Danio rerio: one gene and its partners. The protein of the gene in region 4 binds, or shares a complex with, the protein of the main gene of each other region. Links are inferred from orthologs where the notes say so. Each region holds a gene or a part of one and is shown on either strand. Other genes may lie near its edges. The genes, in order: apooa, micos13, immt and chchd6a.

Region 1 (7,911 bases), on a different chromosome or scaffold from region 4:
TTGTATTTAATGCGATTATTGTACCGGCAGTTATTGTCAAACTCTGTTTTGGCTTTATTAAATGTGCCAGTGCCTATAATAAAAACATAGGATTGATTTAAAGTTAGTAAAACCGCTGTTATTTAAACGTTATAGTGTTTATTATTTAAATTAATTCACGTTTTTGATAACCGTTGAGTGGCGGCACGTCAGCGCTCAGGTGCGTTTTTAAAACTGAACACTAGATGGCAACAAAACACCGTGAAATCCTACAGACAACCTAAACATTGATTGATTCATTCATTTTCTTTACGGCTTAGTCCCTTTATTAATCAGGGGTCGCCACAGCGGAATGAACCGCCAACTTATCCATGTTTTATGCAGCAGATGCCCTTCCAGCTGCAACCCATCACTGGGAAAAACGCATGCACTCCCATTCACACACATACACTACAGACAGTTTAGCCTTTCCAATTCACCTATAGTGCATATGGTTGGACTGTGGGGGAAGCACCCGGATGCAAACTCCAAACATGCAAACTCCAAACACATATGCCATATGGCCAAGCCGAGGCTGGAACCAGCGACTCTCTTGCTGTGAGGCGATCGTGCTATCCACTGCGCCACCACGCCACCCCTAAATAATGATTTTTTTAACTTATAAATTCGTTAAAAATGTCAAAATTCCTTTATAAAGTATTAGAAATAGTTCTTGTCTTAGGAAAATTTTGAAAAACATTATTGATCCACCTCGAATGTTGACTATACATATATGCAAATGTATCAATAAATATATCATTATTTACACTACCTGACAAAAGTCTTGTCGTTGATTCCAGTTGTACAGTAAGAGCAACTAATAATAACTTGACTTCTAGTTGATCATTTATAAAAGTGGCATAAGGTGGATTTTCCGGATGAATTATCTGTTGAGCTGCATCCCAATCATCACTAATACTAGAGAAAGAACTACTGGAACCTGCATGGAGCCCAGCTCAAATTTGGTGAAGGAAAAGTCATGGTTTGGGTTATATTCAGTATGGGGGCGTGTGAGAGATCTGCAGAGTGGATGATCAACATCAACAGCCTGAGTTATCAAGACATTTGTGCTGCCCATCACATTACAAACCACAGTAGAGGGCAAATTCTCCAGCAGGATAGCGCTCCTCATACTTCAGCCTCCACATCAAAGCTCCTGAAAGCAAAGAAGGTCAAGGTGCTCCAGGATTGGCCAGCCCAGTCACCAGACATGAACATTATTGAGCATGTCTGGGGTAGATGAAGGAGGAGGCGTTGAAGATGAACACAAAGAGTCTTGATGAGCTCTGGGAGTCCTGCAGGAACGCTTTCTTCTTCATTCCAGATGACTTTATTAATCAGTGATTTGAGTCATGTCAGAGATGTATGGATGCAGTCCTCCAAGCTCATGATGGAGTCAGACACAATATTCATTCTGTCTCCACTGCAGCAGGACTTTATATTCTATACTGGACATTATTTCTGTTCAGTGATGAGACTTTTGTCTGAGCAAAGTCAGACCTTACTGTCCTAATGAAATCATTCATAATCAAGGCAGGATCATATTTTATTGTAGTGAAATAAGCGTCATCTAGAGGCTTTTGCTTTTCTTATGACACTTCTGATACCAAATGATCAACTATAGACGACAAGACTTTTGTCAAGTAGAGGATAAATAGTCAACATTCGAATTGGATCCAAAATGTTGTGCATCATCTGTTTGTATTGTTTTCAGAATTTTAGACGTTTATATCATTTAACATTTAATTTTTATAATAGTATATGCTCTTCTTTTGTGTTTAGCTTGTTTACATTTTGTAGTTTTAATTGTAATACTTCAACTTTTATTATTGTTGTTGTTATTTATTATTACTATTGTTATTATTATTATTTTGTTGCCATGGCAACATTTCAATTTTAACATTTATCTACGATTTTTTTATTATTTTAGCAAAATAATTAGTAGTTACTTTTTTATTTTTAATAGTTTCATAAAATTATTTTTTAAAACGTTCATGATTATTATTATTATTACTGTATTTGCCTTTTATTTGAAAAAAAAATATAAAATTATTTTCAAAACTTTATTATTATTATTATTGTTGTTGTTGTATTTCCTTTTTATTTTTAATACTTTCCTAAAATATATATTTAAACTTCCATTATTATCATCATCATTATTATTGTTTTTTAATAATTTAATAAAATATTTTTTAAACTTTCATTATTATTATTATTGTTGTATTTCCTTTTTTATTTTAATAATTTCCTAAAATATATATATTAACTTTCATTATCATTCTTGTTTTTTTATAATTTCACACAATATATTTTTTTATTTCATTATTATTATTATTATTATTATTATTATCATTACTTTTGCATTTACTTTTTATTTTTAATAATTTTATAAATTTGTAAAAGTTTCATTATTATTATTATTGTTATTATTATCATCATCATTACTTTTGTTTTTACTTTTTATTTTTTAAATTTCATATTTTTTTACTTTTATTATTAATATTATTATTATTATTATTACTTTTGCATTTACTTTTTATTTTTAATAATTTCATAAATTTGTTAAAAGTTTCATTATTATTATTATCATCATCATTACTTTTGTTTTTACTTTTTATTTTTTAAATTTCTTTTTTTTTTACTTTCATTATTAATATTATTATTATTATTATTACTTTTGTATTTAGTGTTTTATTTTTAATAATTTCATCAAATAATTTTAAAAACTTTCATTAATATTTTTTATTAAATTTAAAAACAAATATGCCATGACAACATTTAATCTAATATTAATATTTAATTTTAGCAGAACATCAATTAACAAAAACAATAGAGGCTTTAATCTGGACGCACCATTGCCTAACAATGTTGTGCCTCATCTGTATGTAAAGGACAGCAGATATGGGATGTAAACAGCGTTACGTAACAGCGTTCAACCCTTGTCCCCCACATGAACATCATCTGACCTCCAGTTTCTCCTGCCTTTGTAATGTTCGCAGTTAAACTCAGTGGGCCTTGAAGGTCCTCAAAATGGCAGCATGAGTAGTTTGAGTATGCAATTCAAGTCTATTTATTTGTACAGCGCTTTTCACATTCATTATAATTCCAATGCAGATTTACAAGTCCACATTATTACATTACTCTTCAAATCAGAAAGGTGTTGAGTAAGTTAGTGATAAATAATAACAATTATTAGCTACACAATAATTAAATTTGCTGTTTGTTATTTTCAAACCACTTATTTAAAATGAGCCAAAACAGCTAAATTTTTAAGGGGGATGTTTTACCTTAGTGCTCAAACTTAATTCCTTCTTGTTGGCCCAACACAAATCTATTTTATTTTGTGGAACCCAGCAACTTTTAGTTTAATCTACTTAATTTCTCCCCATTGGGATATTTGATTTGCAGCATACACCGACAGAGACATTTGAATATTTCATAATAGGCATTTATATAAATAGATCAATTTTCAAACTAAGGCACCACTAATCGAAATAAACATCCAGTCCACTGACCATTAAGAGGAAGAATTAAAAGTGTAAATGCTTCAGGGATCAGTTATAATTTCCACCTTTTCCTTACACATCTGGGGACACAATATCATTGACCAGATGGTAACAGTTTGAAGGTGTAAACAATTACATTGGTGTGCGTTCACGTTTACTCTGAAAAAATGATTCATTGGATTTATTAAGTTTGTTTAAGGTTGCAAACAATCTATATGGGCTGAATTGTTTGCAACCACTTACCTTAAAAAGTTGTATGTTAGTATATTAGTGTGTCATTAATATTTCGTGCTGTCCTTATAGTGTGTAAATGTGTGTGTCTATATGGTATTGACTAGGAAAGCCATGTTGACAGTGAGCACAGACTCTGATAAAGAGGTTATTTTTCTGTCTGACCGGTTTGTTGGTGCTCTCTTCTGATAGGCTGGAGGAGTCGCTGGAGCCTCTGGAACTCTGGGATTGTTTTCAGCCTCAGTGCTGGCGGCGTCCGCTGATGACAAGCCCAAAACAACACTCAGTGTAGAGGAGGTAAAGCCTGAAAATCAGCTGTGAAGAAACTAACATGAGTACACAGTCAGAAATAAGGGGACAAATCTGTCAGGGGGTGAAACCTTTTCAGAAGGTACACTTTTGCACGCTACAGGTGAACATTAGCACTTTTAGGGTGTACTTTTGTACCCTTAATGGTCCTGTGAAAGTTTTTTAAGATTTTAGGTTAAGTCTGTTAGTTTTAAGGATATCTATTAGCTAGTATGCTACAAAACAGTGACAAGATACACATTTAGAAGATGTAAAGCTGATATAATAGGGGTGTAACGATTTATCGTTGTACGATTTATTGCGATGCAAAAATGTCTCAATATGCATCGTGGCGTTATGACGATTTGATTACGATATGACGTCCGTTTTCTCTTATTAGTTGAGCTGTTTGCATGTGAGCTACGTTCCACCTGCTGTCGCACGTGAGTTCAGATTGCAGCAGCAGTAATGTTAGCAGACCAAGATGAGTGAAGCTGAAATAGAGGATGGCCCATCCTCTCAAAATCAGACGTCTGGCAACATTTCGGTTGTCCAGTCATTGCTTTAGACTCGTCCGCTTTTTGACACGCATACTGGGTCAAACATCCTAAGTTTTAAAGTCTTCACAGTGATTTACATACTTTGCACAGTGACAGAGATACCTCCTAATGGTGTTGAAAGAGTCACATACTGTATTTATAAGGTACAATTCACCCTAAAATATCATTCTGTCTTCAAATAATGTTCCCGCCGCAAAATCACACATGACGTGAGCTGTTACTACAGAGGGCGGACTTTGATAGACGCGCACGTATGGCAAGCCGTTTTAGCATTTAAACCTTTGTTGTGACTATCCATAAATATATTTTGAGATATCTCTAATTATATTTTGACTAGACATAATTATAATTCGACTAGTCAGAATGACAATTAGAGATATCTGCAATTACAATTGTACTAGTACGATATCAGATTGAAGATATCTGCAAAAATATTATGACTAGTCATATTCCTCCATTGACTTCCATTGAAAAATATTTGCAGATATCTCTAAATGAGTTTTGACTAGTCACAATTGTAATTAGAGATATTTCTAAATGAATTTAATTAAATATGAATTAAATACCTGGAAATGTGGCTAATAAGTTCAATAATGGCTAGTAATGTTCAATAATATTTTAAGAAGTTTTTTAATTGTTTTATTTTCCAGGGACAGGCCTGTTTAATTTATTTTCGTAAAGAAGGTTCAGTTTAACAAGTTGAAACAAAAGAAATACATAAAAAATAGTTTACTTGGTAAAATTTGCATTTCAGTTTAATTTTAAATTTTTATTCCAAATATCGTGATACATATTGAATCATGAACATTATATCGTGATACACATCGTATCGTGAGCTGAGTGTATCGTTACACCCCTATGATATAAACATGTAAAGCTTGCAGTTTGCCACTTCCGCATTAATGGATCTTTTTTTTACCTCAGTTTCCCATCAAATCTTCTGACCAATCAAATGCTCTCTAGTATCTGATATGCCCTGTCCCCTTTGAACCACTTTTCGTGTGATGTGCTTGAGCTCAAACATAGAATAAAACATTTCAAAGCACTTCACGGTCGATGTACCGCCCCGTTGGGGTGAAGAAGGAGCTGAGCTGAAAGGCAAAGCTCTCGATTTCCCAGTCGATCTACTCTCCTACTTTCACCTATGGTCATGAGCTTTGGGTCATGACTGAAAGGACAAGATCTGGGATACAAGCGGCCGACATGAGTTTCCTTCACAGGGTGGCAGGGTGGCACCCTTATGGACAGGGTGAGGAGCTTTGACACCTGGGAGGAGCTCAGACTAGAGCCGCTGCTCCTCCACAGTGAGAGAAGTCAGCTGAAGTGGCTCATGCATCTGTTTCAGATGCCTCCTGGACGCCTACCTAGGCAGGTGTTCCAGGCATGTCCCACCGGGAGGAGGCCTCGGGGGAGACCCAGGACATGCTGGAGGGACTATGTCTCTTGGCTGGCCTGGGAACATCTCGGGTTCCCCCCGGAGGAAATATCTGGGGTTCCTTCCAAGACTGCTGCCCCCGCAACCCAGCCCCGGAAAAGCAGTTGAAAATGTATGAATGAATTAATTCACGGGAGTATTAATATATCCCTTTAAGGACCTGTCAGGAACAGAACTGTTCCTTTTAATAAGGTATCGCCCAGGGACAGACCTCTCTTTCTGGGTCTATAAAAATATATCTTGTAAGTTGTTTTTTTAATTGATTTGTAATAATTATTATTATTATTTATTTTATGTAAGTATTTTTTCACTAAACCTGTCCGGGGTAAGTTATGGGTTATGGGGTTTGATTTACTGTAAAACTCAAAGACATGTTATACAAAATGAGTAAAAGATAGTGAGAATCAGAGTATTAGTTTAGTTACTTGTTTTAGATCATGCTGGTTTGAGATTTAGTTCATGCAGTGAAGGTGAGATTTACCACTGAACCATAAATAAATGGAAAAGAGTAAAAATGTACACAAGCTTTTCAGAATTAAGGCAAGGCGTTTATTTTGTAAAGCACATTTCATACTAAATGTTTATTCAGAGTGCTTTACATGAGAAAATTGTTAAAACGAATTAGAAAATAATCACAAAATAAGTATAAACGTTTATATTTTAAATAAAACAAAGAAAAAAATGTTTAAAATAATTAAATCTAAAAATATGTAATATTTTTTTATATAATTATATAACATACATTTTTATAATAAAAAAAAAACACATTTAATTGCTTAATTACATTTTTTTATTAATATAAGTGAGATCCAAGATGATGACCTGCCACAGATAACTGTCCCTGGCGTCTGGCTTAGATCAAGACTTTTTATTACGTTTGACTGAACATCAAATCTGTTGGAGACGTTCAATAGATTAATAAGTAGCGAAAAAGTCCACAGAGAGGGGGTGATCACCAGAATGGAGAAGTCCCAGAGTAAAATGAGAAAATATGATACACCGGTGTTTTGGAATGTGGAAAAACTGTATCTGATGGAGCAGTTAAAAGATTTAACTTGAGCCATCACCATACTGGTAGATCTGTCTTTGTGGGATAGCAGCGTAATTAATATAAGTGAGATCCGAGACGTGACTCGCCACAGATAATCTGTTGCAGGGGGGTAAAGTCTCTGGCTGAGATCAAGATCTTTTATTTGTTTGGCTAGCTGTAGGCTGTACTCACACTATGTAAAGTTGTCTTGAACCGTTCCGAATCACGCTTGTCCCCACTCTAGTCTCCCCCGACGGCCCGCACTCACATTGTATTCAATCCTGGGCACGCTTACATCATCGATGATGCGCTGTTCAGTAAGAAGCGCTCTCTCTCAGCACAGTGGAGATTTCTTTAGTTATATCGCTTTAGTCATTTGGGATGCGGTGACACGCAGTCAAATAATTCGACAAACTAATCAGCCACTTTTGACGCTCATAAGCAATCATAAAGTCCTCGTGCTGCAGGAATTAGGAGGTTTGCTGAAGGTGCAGCTGTGGTGCAATGAGGGGTTTGCCTCTTTAATAATCTACGAAAGTTTGCGTTCACTGAACAGTAAGGCCGTACTCACACTAGGTACAGTTGCCTCGAACTGTAAAAGCACGCTTGTCCCTCCTCCCGTCTCCCCCGATGGCCCGCACTCACACCACAAACGGGCCTCGGCACGCTTACGTCATCGCTGCTGCGCTGTTCAGTGAGAAGCCCTCTCTCACTCAGCAGCACAATGGAGATTTCTCTAGTTATACAGTTTCAGTTATTTGATATGCGGTGACACGCAGTCAGATATTTCGCCGAACAGATCTGCCACTTTTGCCACTCATAAACAATCATAAAGCTCTCGTG
Region 2 (7,210 bases), on a different chromosome or scaffold from region 4:
CGCTATATGCAAATTTAACTAGATTACGTTGACTAAAGCGCCAGACAAACCACATGTAGTTAATTAATCTTATTATTTACAGAAGCGTGAACTACTGTATATATCTTATTTGCCATTTTAATTATTTTATGTGCAGGCTATAAAAGGGGCGCCTGCAGGATTTTATTCCAAGGTATGCACAAATCCAGCCCCGCCCCCTTCCCGCAATGATAAAGAAACATGGATGCTTACTGTCAAAGGCTACGTTATTTAAGGGCATTCGTTATGACATAATTCATTTTCTTTTTAATTTTACTATTTTGTTGAAATCTAAATGTAATAAAGCACATCAGCACCAAGAGAAAACCAGACGCTTATGTAAAATTATGACATATTAAAAAAATGTGTAAATATATGACAGAAAATTGTGATACAATACAATTAGTGAAGCACTGATTAAATCCTTACTTTCCACTAACCAAAAATCATCCACCCGCACAGTTGAGTAGTTGACGAGCTCAAATAAAAATATAATTTGTTAAATTTTCTTTAAAAAAAAATATTTTTTACATATATATAGCCTCTTTGTTTAAATATTTTTCTTGGTCAACTACCTTCTAAACAAAATAGAAGAATGAATAACATTTCAGGTGAAGTGCTTCAAAACAAATCCGCTATATGCTTTAACAATGCCAAATCACTACCTGGATTGTCTAATAAAATAATAATCTAGCCTACATAAAATTAAAGTGAGATATTCAGTTTCAGAGAAGCCTATATTGAACTGTTAAATCATTAATCAAATAATTTAAATGAGCAGGACAGGGATTTACACAGTAGCCTTTTCGCAACAGCACTGAACATGTTTCCAAATTACCTTGGTTGAATAAACTTGGTTGAAAAGGTGAGAAAACTCAAACTCGTGAGAATGGAGATGTCTGCTTATTTATGCTAGTCTGTTAGATAAAATTGTTTAAAACACAAATTGTTTAAAACACCTTGAATGGTAGCCATTAGGATTAGTTTTTGTCTCATTAGTTTTAGGCTTTTTGGCAAATGTCTCAATGAAGTTTATTTGTTTAAAGAGTATTTACTCATTTTGAGGCTTGTTTTAAACAATAGCTATCTGAATTGTAATTGTTAGGGTGTGGAAAAAAACGCTAGCAAAACTAAAGCCAATAGATTTCTTTAACCATCTCCCACAATGCAAGTTCATACACTTTAAAACACACAAACACACACTTCTATTTGTTGTCATTCTTTCATGCTTTGTCAATATATCGTAGTGTATACAGTTTAATAATCAATTTAAATTATGTAATAATTTTTTTTTTTAAAGCTGCATTAACCCTCTGGGGTCTGAGGGTGTTTTGGGGCTCTGGAGAAGTTTTGACATGCACTGACATTTGTCTTGTTTTCAGTATCTTTAAAACATATTAATGGCTAAAGTGTGATAACACTGTAAACAGCACAAGTTAGGCTACAATAATACTTAAGCAGCATGTTTGTATGTGTTTGTGTTTTTGAGAAAGAAACGTTAATGCGTGGTAGGGGAAAAACTAAAATTTTGAAGCCACTGAAAGAAGGCCGTGAAACACACAGAGAACATTTGTGCACAAGACTTTTGAGAACTGGATATTGTAACTCCTGCAAAGGAGATCGGATTTATATCACACTCAAATATGTTTCAGAGGACGTTTACAGCTGCCCATATCATGATTGGATAGCTATCTGACCTGAAAATATAAATAAATAAAAATACGCATGGAGTAAACAGGTGAAAACAGCCATTGATTTCTACCTTTCAGCTCCAACCCTGATCAAATACAACTGAACCCATTTATTTAGGACCCGAGACAGCACTTGATAATTACAGACATGTGTTTGATTGGAATTGCAACTGAAATCTGCAGGAAGATAGATATCCAAATATAAAGTTGGTGACCCCTGCTTTAAAGGGTTAATTCACTCCAAAATGAAAATTATGTTATTAATTACTTTCCCTCAGTTTGTTCTGATTCCGAACCTGTGAGACCTTCATTGGTCTTCGAAATACAAATTGTAATCTGAGAGCTCTCTTATCCTTCATATATAGCAATGGTGACAATCTGTTTAAAGTTCCTAAAAGTATCAAAACAGACCAAACAGCTTCAGTGGTTTATTCAGAATGTTATTATGCTACAAGAATTCCTTTGCATGCACATGAAACTATTTTTTTCCAATCAGTTTTGTCAGTATAGGGGGGTCATTTACAAGAAATGTGCGTTGACGTATACAATGGATGCATTCAACTGAGTGCGACATGCATGAAAACAGTAGTGCTCTGGTCAATGCGCACCCTATAATGACACTGAGGACAATAATATTCATAATATTCTGATTGAACCACTACATGCTCTTTTTTTCAGGATATTTGTGTATATTGTGACTTGAAGTCTGGATGAGGGAGCTCTCAGAATTCATCAAAAATATTAATTTTCACCCCCAAAGGCAAGCAGGATGTGCTTGACATTGATATTAAAGTCAGCACCAAAAGACAGATTTCACCAATTACAGTATTAACACAACACTCAATGCAAGAAGTTTTTTTAAAAATATATAAAAACACTATTCTTAAATCAATTACTTTGCAACTAACAATAAAAAAATGTATTTTTCATCCAAAGATCGACATCAGAATTATATTGTATTGGCCAAAGTTAAGAAACGTATTTAAAACATCGTCCAGCTCTACTTTAAGTTTGAGCACTTTAAGGTCTAAATTCTCAGAAACTTAAACCCCAATTGTCCTAAAAACCCAGATTAAAAACAATCACGATAAGACTGTATATTGTGGTACATGACATTTTTGATCATATCACATGCTTTGCTTTCTTGCTTAACTATGTAGGGCACAACAAACTAAAAAACGAAGAAAACTGAAATAGTTTCCAGGCACACACATGGTCTGAGCATATTTTCTGGTAATACAAATATATATAAATGACCTCTGCATGACTTTCAAAATGAGTCAAGAGGCGAAAAAAGGGGTTGAGGTCTAACTTCACACGAATGCAGCTTTACTCTGTGGTAAAAATGAATAGTGTTACTAATGAAGCATTTGATGTGGTTAACTGATCATCCAATTGTTTCCGTACGTCATTTTCTTGTAAAGTAGTAGTAGAACCATGCAAATCACACAGAAAAAAAAAAGACATCCCTCAAAATATTTGACGCAATATATTTTTACATTAGACAGAGCAATACAGGAAACTATACAAACCTCTGTTATAGTGCTTTTGTAAAATTACAGATGGGACAATACCAGAACAGAGCATTTCCAGGAAAAGATTTCCCAAATAAATACAAGTGTTGAGTAACAATACACAAAGAAGGCGCTCTTATTATTTGAAATTAGGGTTCATTTTTGACAATTGTATTTCTATCTGGACAACATGTGCAATAACAAGGACATATTTAGGTTTGCACAAGTATAATCTTCATTATTTCCAATAGTTGTTTCTCAAAAGTGAGTGGAATTCAGTCTGTGATGTATATATGAAGTGGAAATCGCTTCTTGATTTGTCCAAGTCTTCTCAATGATTGAAATTTCTTGATAGCATATTACACTAATGCTGAAGATTCATTTTGACAGGTCTTTGACATACTGCAGGCCTTGTTTGGTGTAGTCACCAACTGTGGACGGAGCAACCGATAAAGCGTGGATAGACTTCTGGACCCCTGAGTTGGGGGAAAGAAATGGAGCGATTACATAACTATAGTATATTCATATACTGTGTGTAGTAAAATTAATTACATATAATTGTCACTAAATACAGAGGCATTTACCTGAGTTCCAAGCATCCAATGGGGAGAACTCAATTTTGGGGGTTGCTGGAAGCTAAAATATTATATTAAAGATCATTATAATAGTTTGACTTTGATAAAACATGGTATAATATGAAGAAGTATTTGGTTAGCAAAAAAATAAAATAAAATAAAAATAAAATAAAACACTTATTGCAATTCAAAGGTTAGTTAAGACTTTTTATTTACAAGAAGTGTGAGGCCCTGTTTGATTATACCAGATTGGATTGCTTGTAGTAGAAATGCTCAAGTGGTCAAAAGCATTCGAATGCACACAAAATGACTTGACCTAATTCTTAAATGACAAGACAAGTTGTTGATAAAGATGCAGAGATTAACCAAGCTGTTTGTAAACAAAACTTTAATTCTCAAATTCACTTAAATCAGGGTTTCTGAAGGTTTCACTAAGTTAAATTTAAGACATTTTAAGACATTTTTAAGAGCATTATGAATAAATTTTAAGACTTATACTGGGTGAAATGCTATGAATTTTTTTTTTTTCTAATATCCCAGTTAAAAAAGATTTTCACTCGCCCTATTAAAAAAAGGATAAAAATGTAATATATTTAATAAAACAATAATAATCATTTTGTTTGAATATATAATTTTGTACTTTTCAAATACATCCATTCACAAACCTTATAACCCTAAGAATAAAACAAAACATAGCAGTCAATTACTTCAGTCTACAATAATAATAATTTAATAATAAAAAAAAACTTATAAGAACTCTTAAGCAAATGTTGCTGTAACGAAAATAATTAAATGCTATTTTTAAATATAAAGTTTTATTGAGATGTACTGTTGGTGATTGTATGCATGTCAATGGCCAGATTGGGTAGCTATAAATGAACAAAGGAAAAATAAAAAAAAAGATTTAAGACCAACAACACAACATTTCAGTATATTTTATACTTTTTAAGGTCTACAATTTAGCTTTTGAGATTTAAGACATTTTAAGGCCCCGCAGATATCCTTTTTAATTTTCAAAAGGTGAGGTAGCTATAATACTAAAGCTAACTAGTTGTCTTTTTACACTACTTGGGTCCAAAAAGTTTAAATAAATCCACAAAATGAACATACAGAACAATTTTGTATAACAGTTGATCAAAAACGCGTTTGTCCAGCATCCTTTAACTGCTTTCTTTATATACATCGTATATTAATTCCCAAATAGACAAAATCATTTTGTTTTCATTGTTAACATATTAATTGGGTTTAAGTCGAAAAAGATTTCACTTTTCTTCAATTCAAAGAGATAAATTGACATTTCTTTCTTTTAATTTTATTTTGAGCTGTATTATTTGGTTACTGAGCAGAGATAAATAATAAATTAAAAAAGGTTGTTTTCAATCACATGGTTATGGTGAATGAATGAATGAGAGTTATAGAAGAAAGTTCATTTTTTGGGATTTATACCATTTTTTAAAGAAGATATAAATAGAAAATAACCACATATGCCGAGCGTGATCCTTATATCATGAAGAGGACCAAGTTTTCTACTGAGCTAAAATATTTTTATATTTAAAATACATTACATTCCATGAAAAAAATACCATAGTATATACTAGTGTCCGGAAGCATACAATAAATAATTACTTGAATTAAACTGTCGTAGTAATTATATTGTTGCTGTGGTATGACACAACTGTAGCAATAAACAAATTATTGAATAGGCTTAAGTTTTCTACACTATAACACCATTACCATGCACCACAGATTATAATAATGTTACAGTATTTATTACAGTCTATCAGTGTACTATGCTACAGTATTTTATAGCATCCGTTAACTAAGAGTTAAACACGTTATACACTTTACTATGTGGTTCAAAAACATGTTTATTATAAATTACAAGTTTTTCCCCACGCAGACATGAAAGCATACAAAAGCATGGACGCAGTCTACATACTTGATATATACAGTCTACATACATATGCAAACATTTGTTTGCAGAACAATTGATGTTCTGATAGCGATTCCTATGTAGGAGAATCACTTCCTGCCCTCCATCTGAGTCTAGCGCGTCAACAATGAAAACCATGAAACTGTGATTCATTTGTGTGTAAATGTTTCATCCTTAGTTTATGAAATGCTCTTTTTTTAAAATCTGAAATCGTGAGTTTTGTGTGAAGGTGTTGCGATGCATTTTAATACCATATGTAAACAGTCTTCTGTGCATCAAGACTATTTAATTACCCAAAAGACTTCCCCGCTATCTCTCTTTTTATTCAATAATGTCAGTGCTGCCATCTGCCATATACTGTAGCCTTACACTTCATCAAAAAGTCAAGTTCTACTTTCGTTATCAATCATACACTTAGTTTCATTTCTTTTCATACCTCGAAGCCAAAGTACTTCATCCACTCATCCACAGCAGGTGGTATGGCTGATTTAGCTCGGGCCAAGGCCACAGATCCCTCATTACTACCTCCAAGAAGTCCTGAATCATATGCCACATACAGGGCTCCTCCCGCAATGGTCACTTTTGTTGCAAACCTAAAACATAAAGAAACACAAATACAATGAGGTAAAGTTGGTTTTATATTTGCACATTCCTTTATTTAACTGTTTCTATTGCTTTCCATGCTAATTTGAATATTAGGTCAGAATTAGCATGGAAGTATGACTTCAAAACAACATTAGCACCATCAAATTTACTGTAAACAATGCTGTACTTTGATAATCATTGGCTGCTAAATTAAATCCATATCCATTTTTTAACTAAAAAAAAAAAAAAACAATTAAAATTCATTATTCTCATGTAGGCGGTGCTAAAATGTCCATTTTCCTCTGATTGGTCAACCAAATCTGAGCTTGTGACGTAGCCCCCAAAATAAGAGCCCTCTGAGGACAATACCCAGGCTTTGAATTATTAATATTTAGTTATATGTATATAATTATATAAACTAAGTTTACATATTCTGTCATTTGATCAGTTATCAGGCTTACATTCATTGCCTCTTTAACGCACACGATGTAAATCTCTGACAAGGTGCCTTTATTTAGCCTGTAGCCTATATAACAGTTTAGATTTGTTTTACAGATAATGTTCTATTACTTTAAATGTTCTTATTTATAGTTTATATAAAATCTTAATATATTATAGTTATTGATGTCATTCGTCTTATTCTTCAGTAGATCTGTAAATAATGTATTTTATAAAATGATCGTTTATAAGAACCAAGTTATTAATAAGTGTAATTCTCCAAATAAAAGTCTTGATTAGTCATGTCGTTTTAAAGATTTTCTACAATTTAAGCAGAAATAGGTTAAACAGAACTTAATTTGGCATAGTGCTCTCTGTGGGCATCACGTGCTAAAATGATTATTATTAATAATAACAATAATAATTATATTATTTAAGCCTACAGTAGCTCTGAAA
Region 3 (8,660 bases), on a different chromosome or scaffold from region 4:
CTGCGCATGTCGCCTCTCGCATCAAAACAGTCCGTTACTCCGATCAATTAATGGACGACTGGTATCAAATGGAAAAGCAACCAGTAAAGATGTTCTTATTTGCCAGACTGCTTCAGCCTCCTGCGTTCTTCTCAGCTCTCAGCATTAAATTCACGGGCCGCATCGAGTTCATCTTTGTTGATGTGCGCAACTGGGACAACAACACCTGTTTGGAGGAAATTGGGGTGCAGCAAATGCCCTCATATATCCTCAAAACACCAGAAGGCATCTACAGATACGGCAATAGCACTGGGGAATTCATCTCCTTGCACGCCATGGACACATTTCTTCGCTCCGTGCAGCCAGAAGTCAATGACTTGTTCATTTTGAGCCTGGTCATGGTCAATCTAATGGCTTGGATGGACCTTTTCATTACGCAGGGAGCCACCATAAAACGCTTTGTGGTTTTAATCAGCACTTTGGGCACTTATAATTCCCTACTTATCATTTCCTGGCTGCCAATCCTTGGTTTTCTGCAGCTTCCATACTTGGATAGCTTCTACGAATACAGTTTGAAATTGTTGCGTTACGCAGACACCACTACTATCGCCTCATGGGTCCGGGCAGACTGGACCTTCTATTCTTCTCATCCAGCTCTCTTCCTCAGCACTTATCTAGCCCATGGCCTTCTCATCGACTACTTCGAGAAAAAAAGAAGATGTAGCAACGAAGACCAAAATGCAAACAACCTAGAGTGGCTGTCAAGTCTTTGGGATTGGTACACCAGCTACTTGGTACATCCTATTGCCTCTTTCCAGAACTTTGAGTCAGACTGGGATGATGATCCTAATTTCCTTTTGGAAAGGTTGGCATTCCCAGATCTCTGGCTTCGCCCACTTGTTCCGATAGATTACATCAAGAACCTGCCCACCTGGAAGTTCAGACTCCTACAGCCTGAAGGCTCCAACCTAGCAGACCGCGACAAACGGCAGAAAGCCACGATGAACCAAAATGAGGACTCCAGTGGGAACAAGGAAGCGCATCAGTGCAGTTCAGACGTTCTTCATGATCATTACGGGTGTTCAGCTGCAACCAAGTCAGAAGAGAGTTGGTCTGGTGGAGAGGAACAGGATACTGATTGGTCTCAGTGGCCTTGTGGTATGCTTCACTGCACCGAGTGTGTCGTATGTCTTGAGAACTTTGAAACGGATTGCCTTGTCATGGGTCTACCATGTGGCCATGTTTTCCACCAGCAGTGCATCGTGGTCTGGCTGGCTGGAGGGCGGCACTGTTGCCCAGTGTGCCGGTGGCCATCATACAAGAAGAGACCCGTACGACAACGTGCAACTGAACAACTCGATCCAGAATAGCCCATGCGTGATTCATTTACGTCTTGCTTCCTGCACTTATTTAAAAAAAGGAAAAACATGACTTGATGTGTCCATCTTTAGTCTATAGATTCATAACATGGGTTCCTGGGGTTTTTGTTGGTGGTTTTAACTTGCACAGTCATTAATTAAATTCATACTTCCCAATATTTTTCAATAAAATTAAAAGAAAATGCTAATTTATGCAAATTATAACATACTTAATGGTAGATTCAACACACATAGTTGAAAAGCTTCTGTTTTAGCGCCCACACATCATACATCCCAATAAAACAAAAGAAAAATCCATATGTTCCTGTACCTGAGAATCACAGTTTGTGTTCAGTGTGTTTCCAAATGTGAGTAATCTGTCTAAAATTAATCGGGGAGAATAAGATTCTAGGAGATGTGAGCCTTTATATAAGGTTTACTCTCTGGGCATGTAAATATGATTAAATTTTTTTTTGTAAGGAATTACAGCTTTACATTACTTGAGTAAAACGGCCCTGTGCAATTGAAAATGGCTTAGGCACTGAAATGCAATTAAAGGCTCCATCTTCAAATAAAGTTGTCTTGTGGGAGCATGTTTTGTTATTTTTAACAGCATTTTGCCATTAACACTAATAAAGACTTTACACTTTGACGTTTGCTGTTTGTCAGGGTGTAAAAGTAATTTGGGAACCTTTACCTGTAATGACATTAAAATTCAATAAAGTCCTGCTTTCTCACCAGTGGTATAGTATCTATGAATTTACTTTTTGAAATAAGTTAAATTCTACCATTTTAGAGCATGTTACACCAATAATCTATAGGGGGCAAATATGTCTATATCAAATGTTTCTCAACCACTTTCCTGGAGGCCCACCAGCACTGCATGTTTTAGATCTTTCCTTTGTCTGTCAGACCAGTTACCGGTCTTTCAGTCTATTCCAATGAGCAGGGCCCGGTTTTTTAAAAGTAATCCACTAGGATTTTGGATAAGGGATTGGAACAAATCTTGAAAATGGGTTTTTCAAAAGAAAAAAATGGATTACTAAATCAGATTAGATTATGTAATCCAATCTTGATTTTGATCCGGATCAAACCTTGAGTTTGGGTTTTTCAGACCTTTTTTGTAGGATTTGGATCACTTCGATCCAAAAAAATCTGGATTAAACTCAGAAGGGTGGATTCAGCATGGATTTTATGCCCAAAATGTAATGAAAACTTTAAAAAAGTATCAAATAATTACTATATTTGGATCATGCAGTATCTTACAAGATATCCTATTTATTCATAAGGTTTTAATTGTATTTGTTCATTCATTAGGCTACAGTGATTAGGTAGGCTTTATCGTATTCAGCCTTTCAGTATAGGCCTACAGCAAAGTAGAAAGAGTTTGGCCTCATAAAATAATCCCCCAAACAGCTATCTAAATTGACTAAAAACAAGAAATTTGATTCTGTCACTAATTTATAAATATATTAATCACAATGGTAAAATATTTTTCTTTTCAGAATATTTATTAGGGATGTATGCAATGATTACAGAATAAACAAAACAAAAAAAAATGCAAAGAATGAGAATCTCAATTTTTTTAAATCACTTTTAACTATTGCAAAAAGAGACTGAAAGGGCAGAAGCACAACTTCATCTGGCAGAGGAACAACTGACTCTGACTGACCAAATTGCAGCAAACCAAGGCCATACTTGAGATTCGCCTTCTAGCTGGTCTCTCCTCATCAGACGAGGAAGACTGAAATTATTGTGAAGGTTAGACATTAAGTCTTTTTTTTTTTTATTCAATACATCTATATTTGAAACTTGTTATAAATATCCTCAGTGTACAGTGTTTGTGTTGTAGGTCTCAGATGAGCGTACTGCTGGAAGAGGATAGGGTGGGGTTTTTCTCGTTTTAAATTTTTATTTATTTATTTTTTTTAAATGTGTGTGTTTTAATTTCAAATAAAAATAAAGTTATATTGACCCCACACTGGCCATTCTACTTGTTGCACTTTAAATATCTATAGTTCTACATTGTGATTTCCCATCCTGTTTGAGCACTGGTTATCCACATTTAGTGATCCTGAAAATTTCCCATCCGGATCAGATTGATCCAATCCGATGTTGCTTTGAAAAACTCAAATAGTAAACTGGATTACGTGATCACGGATCGCAAAAACAGGATTACTAAATCCAGATCTATTTTATTAAACCTTTTGAAAAAACGGGCCCTTATGATCTGTGTGTTTGGTTAAGGGAGACATGGAAAATGTGGAGAGACTGTGGTCCTCCAGGAACGTGGTTGAGAAACACTGGTCTATATTACATAAATCACACATAACCTACACAGACATAGATTTTAGGTATATATATAGCCTTATATCTCCTACAATAACTGATCATGGTAGCATCCACAATATAGTACTGTATATAATAAAAAATAAAGTTACTAAAGTTATGGGAACATTTCACTGATCTATCTTGTATAGACAACAATTAATATTGAAAAAAAATTACTTATTGTTAAATTTACAAAATACATTAGCTAATTTTTACTAATGGGACCTTGTTGTGAAGTGTTACTAAAGATTATTGAGAAAATGCCATATGCCAGTAATTGTCATTTGCAAGGGCTACTTACCTATATTTCAGCGATCTCAACGAAAGCTCCAAGCTATCTATAATAACAATAACCATGTATTTACTAAAAGTATGAGCATATTTTCAAATAAGAAGCAAATAAATCTAATTATTTTCCGTCTTTACTGTGAACTCGTGACGTATTAAGCACGTTGGGTGTGCCTACCGCGCATGCGTTGCTCTGTCACTACGTTCACCGCCAGTGCTGGAGCTAATCTACAGTGTGCTGGGACGAAATTGCTGTTAAGGTTGTTCACTTTTATGATGTGTTGCTGAAACCAGTGGCATATTCCTGATCTTCAATCCAACACTCAGTATCCGAAGTGGCAAGCATGCTGCGCGTCTGTTGGAAAGGGGCACATGCAGCAGCGCGGGTAAGTTTCTTCTGCTTGAGCGGTCATTCAGTGACCCACAGCGAGGCCCTGCGTTTTAAAGCGTACAATTAAACTGCGGATTATCATAAACCCTACATTATTTATTTTATTAACCTATATTTATTAAACTTCATAACGAGTTTATGGTTTTATTTGTTGCGACTTGTTATTTGCGGTTTAGATGGAACACAGTGCTAGAAGTGCTGCTGTACGTCAACGACGTAACGTTGAGAAGAAAGAGGCGTTTACAGTTTGATAGGCAAATTCTTTCAGCCAATGAAATGTCACTATTAAGTGAGTGACTGCTTTCTCCACCAATAAACTACCTCATGTGTACGTCTGCGTAAATGTGGGCGGGATGTGTATGATTCATTTTTTCTGTCACCCGGATAACCAAGCTAGTCAACAGCTGTCTGAAAATCTTAGTTTTACATGAGTTCATGTCTGTTTTACATACAATTGTGTTTTACCAGAACCATTTTCATGCCAAGCGTATTATGATAGAGCTGTAACGCTGTTCTGTAAACACCGTGAAACACACGTTTTGTCCAATAGAAGGACGTGACCTTGCCAGGGAAAGTTCAGAAAGTTTCCAAGACAAACGCTGCCAACATGTCTATTGCGTTTCTATATGTTAATTAGTCAAATTAACAATTGTTAATATGTATAACAGCTGTTAAAATAACCAACATCTAAATGTATACGCATTAAAGATTCATTTTAAGCATTAAAGATTCAAAAGTTCATTCATTCAAAGTTCATGTTTTGAGAAACCACCAACACACACAAATTCCAAATAGAAGTGTTATTATTTAGAGCATACAAAAACAAACAAACATTAAATTAGCTCAAAATAAAATATCCGATCTTTACAGATATACAAACTGCACAAAAAGATTACCAATTTGAAACCCGCTGAATAGCATTCGCATTGGAAAGATGTGGCTCTTTGTATTTAATTAACGTTTATGTAAGACAATGCTTGTATTTAGTGTAAACAATGCTATTTTTTATGTACTTAATATTTTAATTCGTCATTTATTTTGTTGTAGAGCATGTGAGATGATTTGTTTGTTTGTTTCTCTGCAGCAATGTGTGTGTGGTAAAGTGAAGGCCCATCCATTACAGCACTGCCGCAGATACACCACAGCAGGAAACTCTGGGTATAAAATCAAACAATTAATTTCCACTTAAACAAAAGTTTACTGTGATTTGTTTATACGCAGATTTGTTTATTTTTCTTGTAGTTAATTGGACAATTATTAAATGAGTGACTTCTCAATCATACATTTACACTTATCCATTTGGCAGAAACATTTATCTAAAGCATATTACATTTCATTTATGCTGCATATGTAGACATTTTTTCTATAATGTCATAGTTGTCAGTCCCTATTTTGTATCACTTGAGCTAAAGAAATGTTTTTATTTATTTATTTATTTATTTATTTATTTGCTTATTGTTCTGCAGATCCTCCGCTGGGAAAATAGTGGCTGCTAGTCTTTTAACAGTGGGTGGTGGTCTTGGTGGGACTATCCTTTATGCCAAATGGGACCCAAAATTTCGGTCATCTGTAGAGAAGAGTGTTCCCTATTCGGATCAACTATTTGACATGGTGCTAGGGGCACCCCCTTCTCCACCCGTACCTATACAAAAGAAACCGGTAAGTGAAAGGGTTACGAACAACCAAAACACATTTTTTGAGCTGTTGACAGTCATATATGTGTCCCATGCTGCTAAAACCACTATTTGGACATATATTACACAAAGAAGTGAAAATAGGGTGTTTGTGCGTTACTTCAAGCAAATTCATTGTTCCAGTTTGAAACAAATTTATGAAGCTGCGTCACGCCGATTAGATCCTTGCATGTATTTCAGCATAGAGACTGGCTTTCTATACCTGGGAGTACTTTGTGACCTCTCTGAGTGTGCTGCATTCATTCATGACAAAGACTTGGTTCAAACCAAACAGTGCGCTCTATTGTGTATGCGGTGCAACTTCATTAATATGCATGATAGCTTCGAAAAAGAAAGAAGAAGAAAACAAGTGGGAGAAGAAGAATTGTTACCCATATGAGAGATACGGGTCATCTGTGTTGCGTTTTTAAATGTCCTGCAACGAAGGTTTTGTTTTCATTTTCCCGCTATGAGAGCGCAGCTGGACTCGCATGTAGATTACACTGCACGCAACACGCGGCAGAAATACGTTTGTATGGAACATTTTTTACTCGAGAGCTTGGCTTTCCGCATTTGCTGCTTGTCTCCTTTTAAAAAAGACGCAGCTCCAGTTGGTGTTGATTCATCTGTCTTTTTATTTTTTATTTTTTTATTCAAATGGCAAAGTTAATTCGTATCGTCAGCAGTACTCTTTCAGTGTTTAAAGACAGACCTTAGTCAAAATCATTTCGAAGCTTACAGTACATTAATATCACTACAATATTATGGACTGAAAGATCTGCTGTAAATGCTGTTCTCTGTAAACATGTAAACATTAAAGACCGTCATGTTAATTTCGATGCATTTTGTGACAGGATAGTCTACACACAAACGGCTTTCTGACGACGTGCGGTATCAAACATTCAACAGTCATTAAACAAAGTCTCTGTCTTTCTCCTCTGCATCTGTGTGTTTCTTTTGCCTCAGTGAAAATCAGCGTGTGCGTAAATGAAAAATCCCATTTTTATTCAAATCCTTCCATCTTTCCCTGCCCCGTCACTCCCACCTATACCGCGCTAGACACACCCACTTTCCTGACTTTTTCCAAACTAGAGATGTGAAAACACGCTGTTGAAACGGGGGTTTCATGGCCCTTTAAAATCACTTTAATTCTTAAAGAAGACACAAATAATATGCATTCTGTAATTAGATTTAGCTATGCAACTATGTGAGCATATTATTATTATTATATAACTGATTTTAATGACAGAATCAATGATGTTGGCTAATTTCGTATTTTTATTGAATTAGGAGACTGTCAAACCACTGCAAATCTCTTCATTGTCAGAAGCAACTAAAGACTCCAAACAGCCTAAAGCTAAAGCCAAGAAGTCTGATCCAGCACCTCCACCTTCTGTAGAGGAAGCTCCAGCACCAGCGCCAGCACTTCAGTCACTGGAGGGTAAGTGGGACTTGTACCTTTCTCAAGGCTAATTTATACTTTTGCCCAGTGCCACGTCGCAAACCTCTTTTGAATGCGCACGCACCTCACGAAACGTACATGCCTTTTATACTTATATAGAAGCCCACCGTGAAGTCAGACAGATAAACAGAGAAGTAGAAAGTTTCCCGAACCACGTCATATCATTAACATAGTTCAACATTTTTAAATTTGTTAGTTTTATTATTTTTTATAATTTATGTTAATGATTATAAAGATTTTTAAAATCATTCAAGATTTTTTAAATCATTATTTGACACATCACTTGCTTTTGTTTATATCTCGGACAGTTCTACCTATTAAAGGTAAATATCAATGACAACAGAACATGGGTTGCTCTACAAATATATTTTTTGTTATGGCATAAATAAAGGCCAAAAAGAAGTACATTTACTAAAAAATACTGACATTTTTAATAGAATAAGTCCACTTCACAATTCACACATTATTGTTACTGTCTGGCTAGTTTGTGTCCTCTGCTTTTATACTAAAAAGGCAACACTGGTCCAATATTACCTTTTAATCATTAACTTCACTTTTGCCATGGTCTTTTTTGGCTGTAACAAATGTATCTCTCAGGTTTTTCCAAACTTTTCTCCTTTCTCATGGCTGTTGCAATTTCTAGCTAAGAATTATTGACCATTGGGTTATCCCTAATGATCATACAAGGACAGATCCTAAAGATGTCTGTACAGTCGTACCTGCTTTAGACAAATCTCTTCAAAGTGATTCATATTCAACCCAAATGAAATGTGGCGCTGCTTGAACTGTTCGCTCGAGTCTCAAAAAATTATGTCGCTCACACGCAAAGCGAAACTTTGCAAACACAGTGATGATGTCACATTTGCTGTGCGCAGTAGCGAACGCGTTGGTTATAAACCAGGCTTCAGAACTTTCAGATGTGCAGCAGTTACTCCCTAAAGGCCCTGGTATGCTTAAACAAAATCAATAAAAGTATTGAAATGGCATAATTTCGAACAAAATCAGGCCAAAACGATGTTCGATTTGAGTTTGATTCCGCAGTTCGAAACAGCTCACCAAAGCCAACTTTTTGGGGGTGTTTGTTCTGGCTCCTAAACATCTTTGAGCTAACATTGGTCTGTGATGATTATGCAATTGGTGGGTGTGTCTTGAAACTCCACCTACTTTGACATGCTTCA
Region 4 (7,911 bases):
TTGTCCATGTGGATTTGTTAGGCTCACGTGTTATGACGTCATTCAGTTGGTCTGATTAGTTCGCCAGCTGAGGCTCATCATGGTGCCTATATCTGGGCGACGCTTTTGTGTGTCTGTGTCAGTTCGTTGTTATCACTCATGTTTGTGTGTCTGTGCTCAGGCCCTGCGGAGTAATCTGGATCTGGTTTTCCCCGTTCTGTTTCCTGCCCTGCGTCCTGCGTCCGTCTAGCCTGACACTATTTGTATTTGTCTTCACAATAAACTTGTACACTTGCTATTGGATCTTCTCTGACTCTCACTGAAACGTAACAGAAATAACGCAACATAAACAACAGAGGTTGAGAAAAAGGTTACTTTTCAATGGAGATTTCCGACGGCACTTAGAGGTTTTTGACTTGGTTAAGTGTTTTATGTTATTTTAAAAATCTTTTATTGCAATTCCAACATGAATGTACTTTACAAATAGACTTAAAGATTAAAACCATTTGAATGTCTGTGAATAATGAGGAACTTTATATTTTTAATTAGCTGCATATTTAATGTTTTAAACGTAGTAATGTGTTAGTAATGCGTGTAACTATATTTTAAACATAATATTTGAATGTGACATTTTCATATTGTTGTCTTATAGCTGCGTTTATTAGAAATAAAAACTTGTTGTGATAGCTTTCTAAATGTACAGTATGTTTTTAGGATAATAATGTTTGAAAATAATAATTGTTTATGTAGAAAAAGGTATTACAAAAGTTTCATTTCTAATAAGTCCGTACATAAGACAACAATACGAAGCAAAACTCATATATTACATTTCATGTTTTAAAGTAATTTATTATCTTTTTTTTTTGCAATTCTAACAAAAATATACTTTACAAATAGATTTTGTGATACAAAAAGTTGCTGTACTAAAGAAAGAAAAAACTAAATGCAAGATGAAATATAATCCAAATCCAACAGGAGAGATGATACACAATAAAGCATATTAATAGCGAATATTAAACGTGGTACAATTTATAGATAGATTTTAATCATTTCCTTGTAGATAAGTAAATTGTTTAAATAGAAGTTCAGTTTATGTTTATATAACTAGGACCACAATAGTGATCTGATTTTGTAATTAATGAATGTTTGTATGGAGAAACAAATAGATTAAAAACATTTTGCCATTTAATTGGATCAATAATCATAAATTGGATTATTAATTCAACCAATTTGCTTGAAAACCATCTCAACATTCTTAAAATTCTTTATTAAAGTTTGTAAATCTTCAGCAATACTGCACAAATAACCTGTAAAACTTCATAAATGATACATGACAAAAAGGAAGATGCATTTTTTTTCACTATATCCATGATTGTTTATCTGTCTGTCGACAAATCATAACATTAATGCTTTAAAATATGTGTTAATTAATTTAGCATATGTACAGTTGAAGTCAGAATTATTAAACCCCCTGAATTATTAGCCCCACCTGTTTATTTTTTCCCCAGTTTCTGTTTAACGCAGGGCAGATTTCTAAACATAATAGTTTTAATATCTCATTTTAAATAACTGATTTATTTTATCTTTGCCTTGATGACAGTAAATAATATTTGACTAGATATTTTTCAAGACACTTCTATACAGCTTAAAGTGACATTTAAAGGCTTAACTAGGTTAATTAGGTTAACTAGACAGGTTAAGGTAATTAGAGAAGATATTGTATAATGATGGTTTGTTCTGTAGACTATCAAAACTATATAGCTTAAAGGGACTAATAGAATAGACATTAGAATAGTTTTTAACAAATTAATAACTGCTTTTATTCTAGCCGAAATAAAACAAATAAGACTTTCTCCAGAAGAATAAATGTTATCAGACATACTGTGAAACTTTCCTTGCTCTGTTAAACATCATTTGGGAAATATTTAAAAAAGAAAAAAAGTTCAAAGGGGGCTAATAATTCTGACTTCAACTGTATATTTATCAGTCACTTTCTACATTTGTGTACTCAGCTGTCTGAAGACGTCTTACAACGCATGAGGAACACCAACGCTGATCCAAGACCACCTGCCAACAATAAAGAAAACCAAGGTATGACATTATTATCGCCTCTCCATCCATAATTGTTTGCTGCTCATATTCACTCTGAACTATTAGACAAGATTTTTAGAATGAAAAAAACTTTCACCAGGTCACATTTTAAGCTAAATCAAATATTCAATTGAAAATTATAATTATCTTTTAGTATACAGTTTTTGTGAATGTTTTTATTTATTTCTATTGATATATTTGTATATCATCTCTTATTGAAATGTAAGTTGTTCTTATCATGTAATGTTTTTATATATTGATCTTGCCATGAAATGGCCATAAGTTGCTGATGTGGCAATAAACAAACATATTCACTTTTTCCCTTATGATATGTAAAATCATTAGTTTGTAATGCAAGTTAATAATTTTTTACATTTAATTTAATCCTGCAGGCCATCAAACTCGAACACCCAGCACATCAGACGCACAAGCTCCAAAAACACAGGCCAAAACGACGTTTCCCGACTCTAAAGAGGAGCTCAAAAAGAGGTACTTCAGTACAGATGTCTAAATCTAAATATTAAACAAAGTTTAATTATTGATACATAATCGGATTTAAATAATATGATAAAATGCAATCATATTACAAATGTGATATTGAAATTCATAACATTAGTATTAAAAAGTAAGTTTACATTAAGGAATACATCTAAATATTATATATACACGTCACCTTAAATGTATTTATTTATTTTTTATTTTGTTGATAACTGACCAACAAAAAATACTTAAAAAGAAAAAAAAAAAAACTAATTATACCAAATTCAATTTGTTACAAAAGAGCATTTTTCCCAACAAAATGAGGCTATATGAAGTGCTAAAAATTGTTTCAATGTTTCCTGTTGCTATTTTGGGGTTTTCATCTATTTTATTTTAGTCTTATCAGGCAACAATCCAAAGTAATCTAAAATTTCACTTTGTGAGTCGTTATTCTAAAGAGATTGTTGCTGTTGTTGTAGCTACTAAATCATATTAACAGGAACAGAAATGAACTGATTCAGATGCGCGTTCAAACTGAAGCGTTCAAAAACGTGCTATAGACTACCATAAAAGGCACTATTTCTACATATAGTTTTGCCACGTTAAAGGGCTCCACAAACTATTAAAATAAAGTCTGTTGTTGCACAAACATGTGAGCATTTTAGTGATTTTTATACATGCAACATCTATTGTAGATAAACCATTAATGATGATACTACCGTTTGTGGCACAGTTTTTTTTAGCCGTAGTGTCACGATACTACCATAGTACTGGTATACTGTGCAACCCTAGTAGGTGTGAAACTGACATTTTCAACCAATTAATTTTTCATTTTCTAAATCGTGCTCCTAATATGACAATACATATATCAGTCGACTAGTATATCTGATATAGTGCTCAAAAATCCCACTAGCAGTGGAGCTCCCAAAAGGGCAGAGACTGCAATTAGAATAGGACTCACTTTTTCCTGGATGCAGTTCAAGTGTGAATCATGAAGTGACAAACAAAGCATGAAACACTGACATGCAGTGGTAGGATTGAGAACTGCAGCGAGTGAGTCATGACTCATGGCTTGGCAACAGGCTTGAAAATCAAGCGGTGTGTGTGTTCCTGCACAGGTATGAGCAGCAGCAGGCCATTATACAGGAGGAATTGGCTCGCATCGCACGCAAAGAGAGAGAGGCAGCGCGGCAGGACATCAGTCGAGCGGTGCAGAGAGAGCGAGCACAGACGCGGCAGGAGTCTGAGAGAGCCAAACAGCTGGTGAGTCTCTTCTGCAAACACTTCAGCACAACACAGTACTTCAGGACTGAAGTATAACGACACAGGCAAGCACACTCTGACTCCACTGCATCCCGAGGCAGCCGGCTTAAATGCTGTGCATAATGTTGGTGGCAAACACATTGCAGTGAATTTATATAGATACAGTTGAAGTCAGAATTATTAGCCCCCTTATTTATTTTTTCCCCCAATTTCTGTTCAACAGAAAGAAAAATTTTCCAGCACATTTCTAAATGTAATAGTTTTAATAACTTAATTGACCCTTCACCAAGCCACACCCAAAAACCGCCACACACCAATCAAGGCTTAGCAACCGTAGCTACGCACAGGAGGCCTGTCAAGCTTTCGAGCGAGGGAAAGAAGCTGATAACCGCTATCCTAAGTTTGGATGAGGTGGTGGAATTTTTTTCCCTTTCCAAAACCTAAAACCCAAGAGGAGAAATTCCAGCGTGGATCAAGCTGTGTGAGGGGCGATAAAAGAGCGGGGTTAAGTTTATTTTGTTTTCGATATTCCTGACACATTCAGGCAATAACTCACACATCTCTTACCCTAAACAGATCAAACTGTGTTTCCTGCAAAAATACAAAGCAGGTTATGTTTCCCAGCTGTCTTTTTCTCTTTTTTCCGCTTGATATTATGAGCACTGCTCCGTTTAAGCCCTCACAGTAGTAGTCATACTATTAGCAATCATGTTTCCATCTGTTTCAAGCTACGAATATTTGAAACTACATATCGACAGAACAAAACAGAGATGTGATCACAATCTGAGCACTTGTGCTCAATATACAGTTGAAATCAGAATTATTGGCCCCCCTTTGATTTTCTTTCTTTTTTTTTATATTTCTCAAATAATGTTTAACTGAGCAAGGAAATTTTCACAGTATGTCTGATAATATTTTTTTCATCTGGAGAAAGTTTTATTTGTTTCATATCAGCTAGAATGAAAGCAGTTATTAGTTTTTTAAACACCATTTTCAGGACAAAATTATTAGCCCCTATAAGCTAAATTGTTTTTCGATAGTCTACAGAACAAACCATCGTTATCCAATAACTTGCCTAATTACCTTAACCTGCCTAGTTAACCTAATTAACCTAGTTAGGCCTTTAAATGTCACTTTAAGCTGTATAGAAGTGTCACGGTAAATATCATGGCAAATATAAAATAAATTAGGTGTTAGAAATGAGTTATTAAAACTATTAGGTTTAGAAATGTGTTGACAAAATCTTCTCTCTGTTAAAAAGAAATTGGGGAAAAAAACGAAAAAAAAAAAAAAAAACAGGGGGGCGAATCATTCAGGAGGGCTAATAATTCTGACTTCAACTGTACTTCACCCGCAGGTGTTTTTCAGTAATTTATAAGCCTCATGTCCATGTCAGAGCTTCAATTCACTGATGTTTTTGGTCTGTATTTTAGAGATTTAGTCATTATAGCGAGTTAGAGTCTGCTTTTATTTTTGGGGTCTGATTAATATTTGCTGGTAGGGAAAATCTGTTTGTTCACTTCTGCTTTTTATACTTTAATTTGCATTTGAATTGCATTTGAAGTCGTTTTTATGTTGCCTTCAATGATTTCCTAAAGATGAATACCAAAAAAGGATGCAACTGGAATAACTAAAGCAGTGACCATCGATTGAAGTGAAGTGCGAGATTGCATATGATGACATATGATGATGAGTGTGGGTGTTGTAGTGGTGTCCTATTTCTCAGGGGTACATTTTGAAGCCCTTCCCCTTCACACTCTGTTTCAAGGGCCAAGGGGAAGGGTAGGGGTACAAAAATAGAATTGGGATTGGGCCTAACTTTAGTTTGATTTCTACAGACAGTTCTGACAGTTTTGGTGACTTTTGCTTGCTTAAAATTCATCTATATCCAGCCAGCCAAACTAGTTCTGTGTTGCATAAATACTTACAAATGTAAAAATTAATAAGTATTCTTATCTGGCTTCATTTTCCGGTTTGAAAGTTTTTCTTTTAAATCAAGTCCCGGAGGCGAGGAGCACGCGGCCCGGTCAAGTCCCCGTCTGTGAAACATTCTGCTGCTCTCTTGACATGGGTGAAATTGGCTTTTTTGAATTCCACTCAGTTTTTTTCCCCTTTGTCCCGTCTTCCTCTTTCTCTCATCCACTTATTCGGGTCCTTTAGGGATTGTATCCCTCATTCACCTTATCTAGTCAATAAGACTTACACGTCGCACGTGTCGACATCTGGTAGACGTGGGATTGAAAAACGTTGTGTGATGTAGTACATGTCGTCCCATGCCCGAGGATCCTTTGGTACGTCTTGTTGGTGTGTGTCTTATCTGAGCTCTGACATGTTCTGGACACTTAATAGAAAAAGCTTCCCCTGGGCTCAAGCTTTGAAGAGTAAACGTGTGTGTGTGTGTGTGTGTGTGTGTGTGTGTGTGTGTGTGTGTGTGTGTGTGTGTGTGTGTGTGTGTGTGTGTGTGTGTGGACGCAGGTAGCGAACGTTATTATGACTCAATTCTCAATTCATTCCTGAACATTGCTCATTCTTTAAACATTTCTGCCTTATTAGCGGATGTGTGAGCATACATACTGATGCCATTCGGATGTTTGTGTGGAGTTTGGTATAGGTTGTCATTAGGGCTGCACAATATATCGTTTGAGCATGGATACCGCAATGTGTGCATCCGCAATAGTCACATTGCTCATGTTGAGTTGAAATTATAGATGGCCAGAAACGACAGGCCAAAACACACAAGATTTGTGGAGACACTGATGAATTGAATCATAATAAAGTGAAAGTTTATTATATGCATGTGTTTCTAAGGCCTGTGACTGTGAGCATTTTAAGAGAGTTTAAAGCATTTTAATAGCGCATAAAGAAGTTTAATAAAGATTTAAATAATTGAATTATTTATACGATCAAGAACATAAATGTCAATCAAAGGCGGCAACACCAAGGCTCCAAAATTACAAATTTATTAAATTGAAAAGGCTGACACAGAGCGTGTCAGAGCGGAGCCTTGGTGTTGCCGCCTTTGATTGAAATTTATTTGCACTTTTTTGCGGTTTTGGCTGAGCACCCAATTTAGAGAGACGTGCGTGCTTTTGTACAGTTTTTTCATATAATCAAGAACATGCAATGTTATTTTACATTTGATTATTGCATTTCTGTACCCAAATGCTGTTCGGCCCTGTTTATACTGCCAGTTAAATGTGACTTAATAAAATTTTTTTGCTTTTACGTGACAGATTGAATCTGTTCTATGACCATGTAAACTTGAAAAAAAAAACGCATGCATTCGGATATTCAGAGATCGGTTTTAGGCCTCCTTCATATATGGAAATAAATCAGATATAACTCAGATATGTGGCAATGCAACAATCATGTAAACAGGCAGATGGGATTTATTGAGGTGTTACGTTTTGTACGCCATTAAACTTGACAATGTGGTACTTCTCCGCAGTTTAATGACGTAGAATGACGAATGTGTGTGGAGATGCTGACACAGTAAACCATAACAACAGAGAAAACATGGAGGAGGAAAGTGGTATCAAATCAATTGTTGGTTTGGCCATCCCAAAATTCAGACCTATTGCATTAAAGCCCACCACAATTTGCTCCCACCAAACCTGAGATCTCTCTTATACCCAAAAATTCCTCTGAATGGTGGAGGGCACCATATATAAACCATAGGCGCAAGCTGCAATGATGACCCTTTCCCTCCTCCGCCTCAAAATCATTTTAAAATTGGTTGAACGTCTCATATTTCGCACAGCTAAAAGCAAGACCTTTGTGGCGCAGATGCAAAAACCTGCTTTTGTGCATGCACGACTTTGTAAAGTGTATGGCATGTGTAAACACTTGAATAAGATATGGGTCACAATTAAAAGAACGTGTAAACGGACAGGCAAAAAAAACAACAACAACAACAACAACAAAAACGACACAGATATATGCAACAAATCGAAATTGGGCATCAAGACCTGACAGTGTAAACGTGACCTTAGACTCTACCTAGAAAACCATAAAGTATGTATTTATTTCACTGTAATATTTGCTCCATTGTGTTACTTGATGACTGTATTTATTATATGTATATAACAAAATTAATGA

The links.
Region 1: chchd6a (region 4) and apooa share a complex: the UniProt entries of both Homo sapiens proteins name them as parts of the mitochondrial contact site and cristae organizing system (MICOS) complex. The link is inferred for Danio rerio from reciprocal best matches to the Homo sapiens genes CHCHD6 and APOO.
Region 2: chchd6a (region 4) and micos13 share a complex: the UniProt entries of both Homo sapiens proteins name them as parts of the mitochondrial contact site and cristae organizing system (MICOS) complex. The link is inferred for Danio rerio from reciprocal best matches to the Homo sapiens genes CHCHD6 and MICOS13.
Region 3: chchd6a (region 4) and immt share a complex: the UniProt entries of both Homo sapiens proteins name them as parts of the mitochondrial contact site and cristae organizing system (MICOS) complex. The link is inferred for Danio rerio from reciprocal best matches to the Homo sapiens genes CHCHD6 and IMMT.

The regions. Positions count from the first base shown.
Region 1 is NC_133180.1:4,979,011-4,986,921, reverse strand, and holds part of apooa (apolipoprotein O, a), read left to right. Parts: intron 1-790; exon of another isoform or gene 791-985; intron 986-3,920; exon of another isoform or gene 3,921-3,947; coding exon 3,948-4,052; exon of another isoform or gene 4,053-4,059; intron 4,060-7,911. UniProt on the Homo sapiens protein: Component of the MICOS complex, a large protein complex of the mitochondrial inner membrane that plays crucial roles in the maintenance of crista junctions, inner membrane architecture, and formation of contact sites to the outer membrane.
Region 2 is NC_133197.1:19,392,724-19,399,933, forward strand, and holds the end of micos13 (MICOS complex subunit MIC13), read right to left. Parts: intron 6,325-7,210; coding exon 6,168-6,324; intron 3,860-6,167; coding exon 3,808-3,859; intron 3,700-3,807; coding exon 3,602-3,699; 3' UTR 3,256-3,601; downstream 1-3,255. UniProt on the Homo sapiens protein: Component of the MICOS complex, a large protein complex of the mitochondrial inner membrane that plays crucial roles in the maintenance of crista junctions, inner membrane architecture, and formation of contact sites to the outer membrane.
Region 3 is NC_133189.1:18,387,281-18,395,940, forward strand, and holds the start of immt (MICOS complex subunit MIC60), read left to right. Parts: upstream 1-4,139; 5' UTR 4,140-4,300; coding exon 4,301-4,342; intron 4,343-5,431; coding exon 5,432-5,505; intron 5,506-5,813; coding exon 5,814-6,006; intron 6,007-7,310; coding exon 7,311-7,461; intron 7,462-8,660. UniProt on the Homo sapiens protein: Component of the MICOS complex, a large protein complex of the mitochondrial inner membrane that plays crucial roles in the maintenance of crista junctions, inner membrane architecture, and formation of contact sites to the outer membrane.
Region 4 is NC_133198.1:37,033,984-37,041,894, forward strand, and holds part of chchd6a (MICOS complex subunit mic25a), read left to right. Parts: intron 1-1,991; coding exon 1,992-2,070; intron 2,071-2,462; coding exon 2,463-2,559; intron 2,560-3,668; coding exon 3,669-3,813; intron 3,814-7,911. UniProt on the Homo sapiens protein: Component of the MICOS complex, a large protein complex of the mitochondrial inner membrane that plays crucial roles in the maintenance of crista junctions, inner membrane architecture, and formation of contact sites to the outer membrane.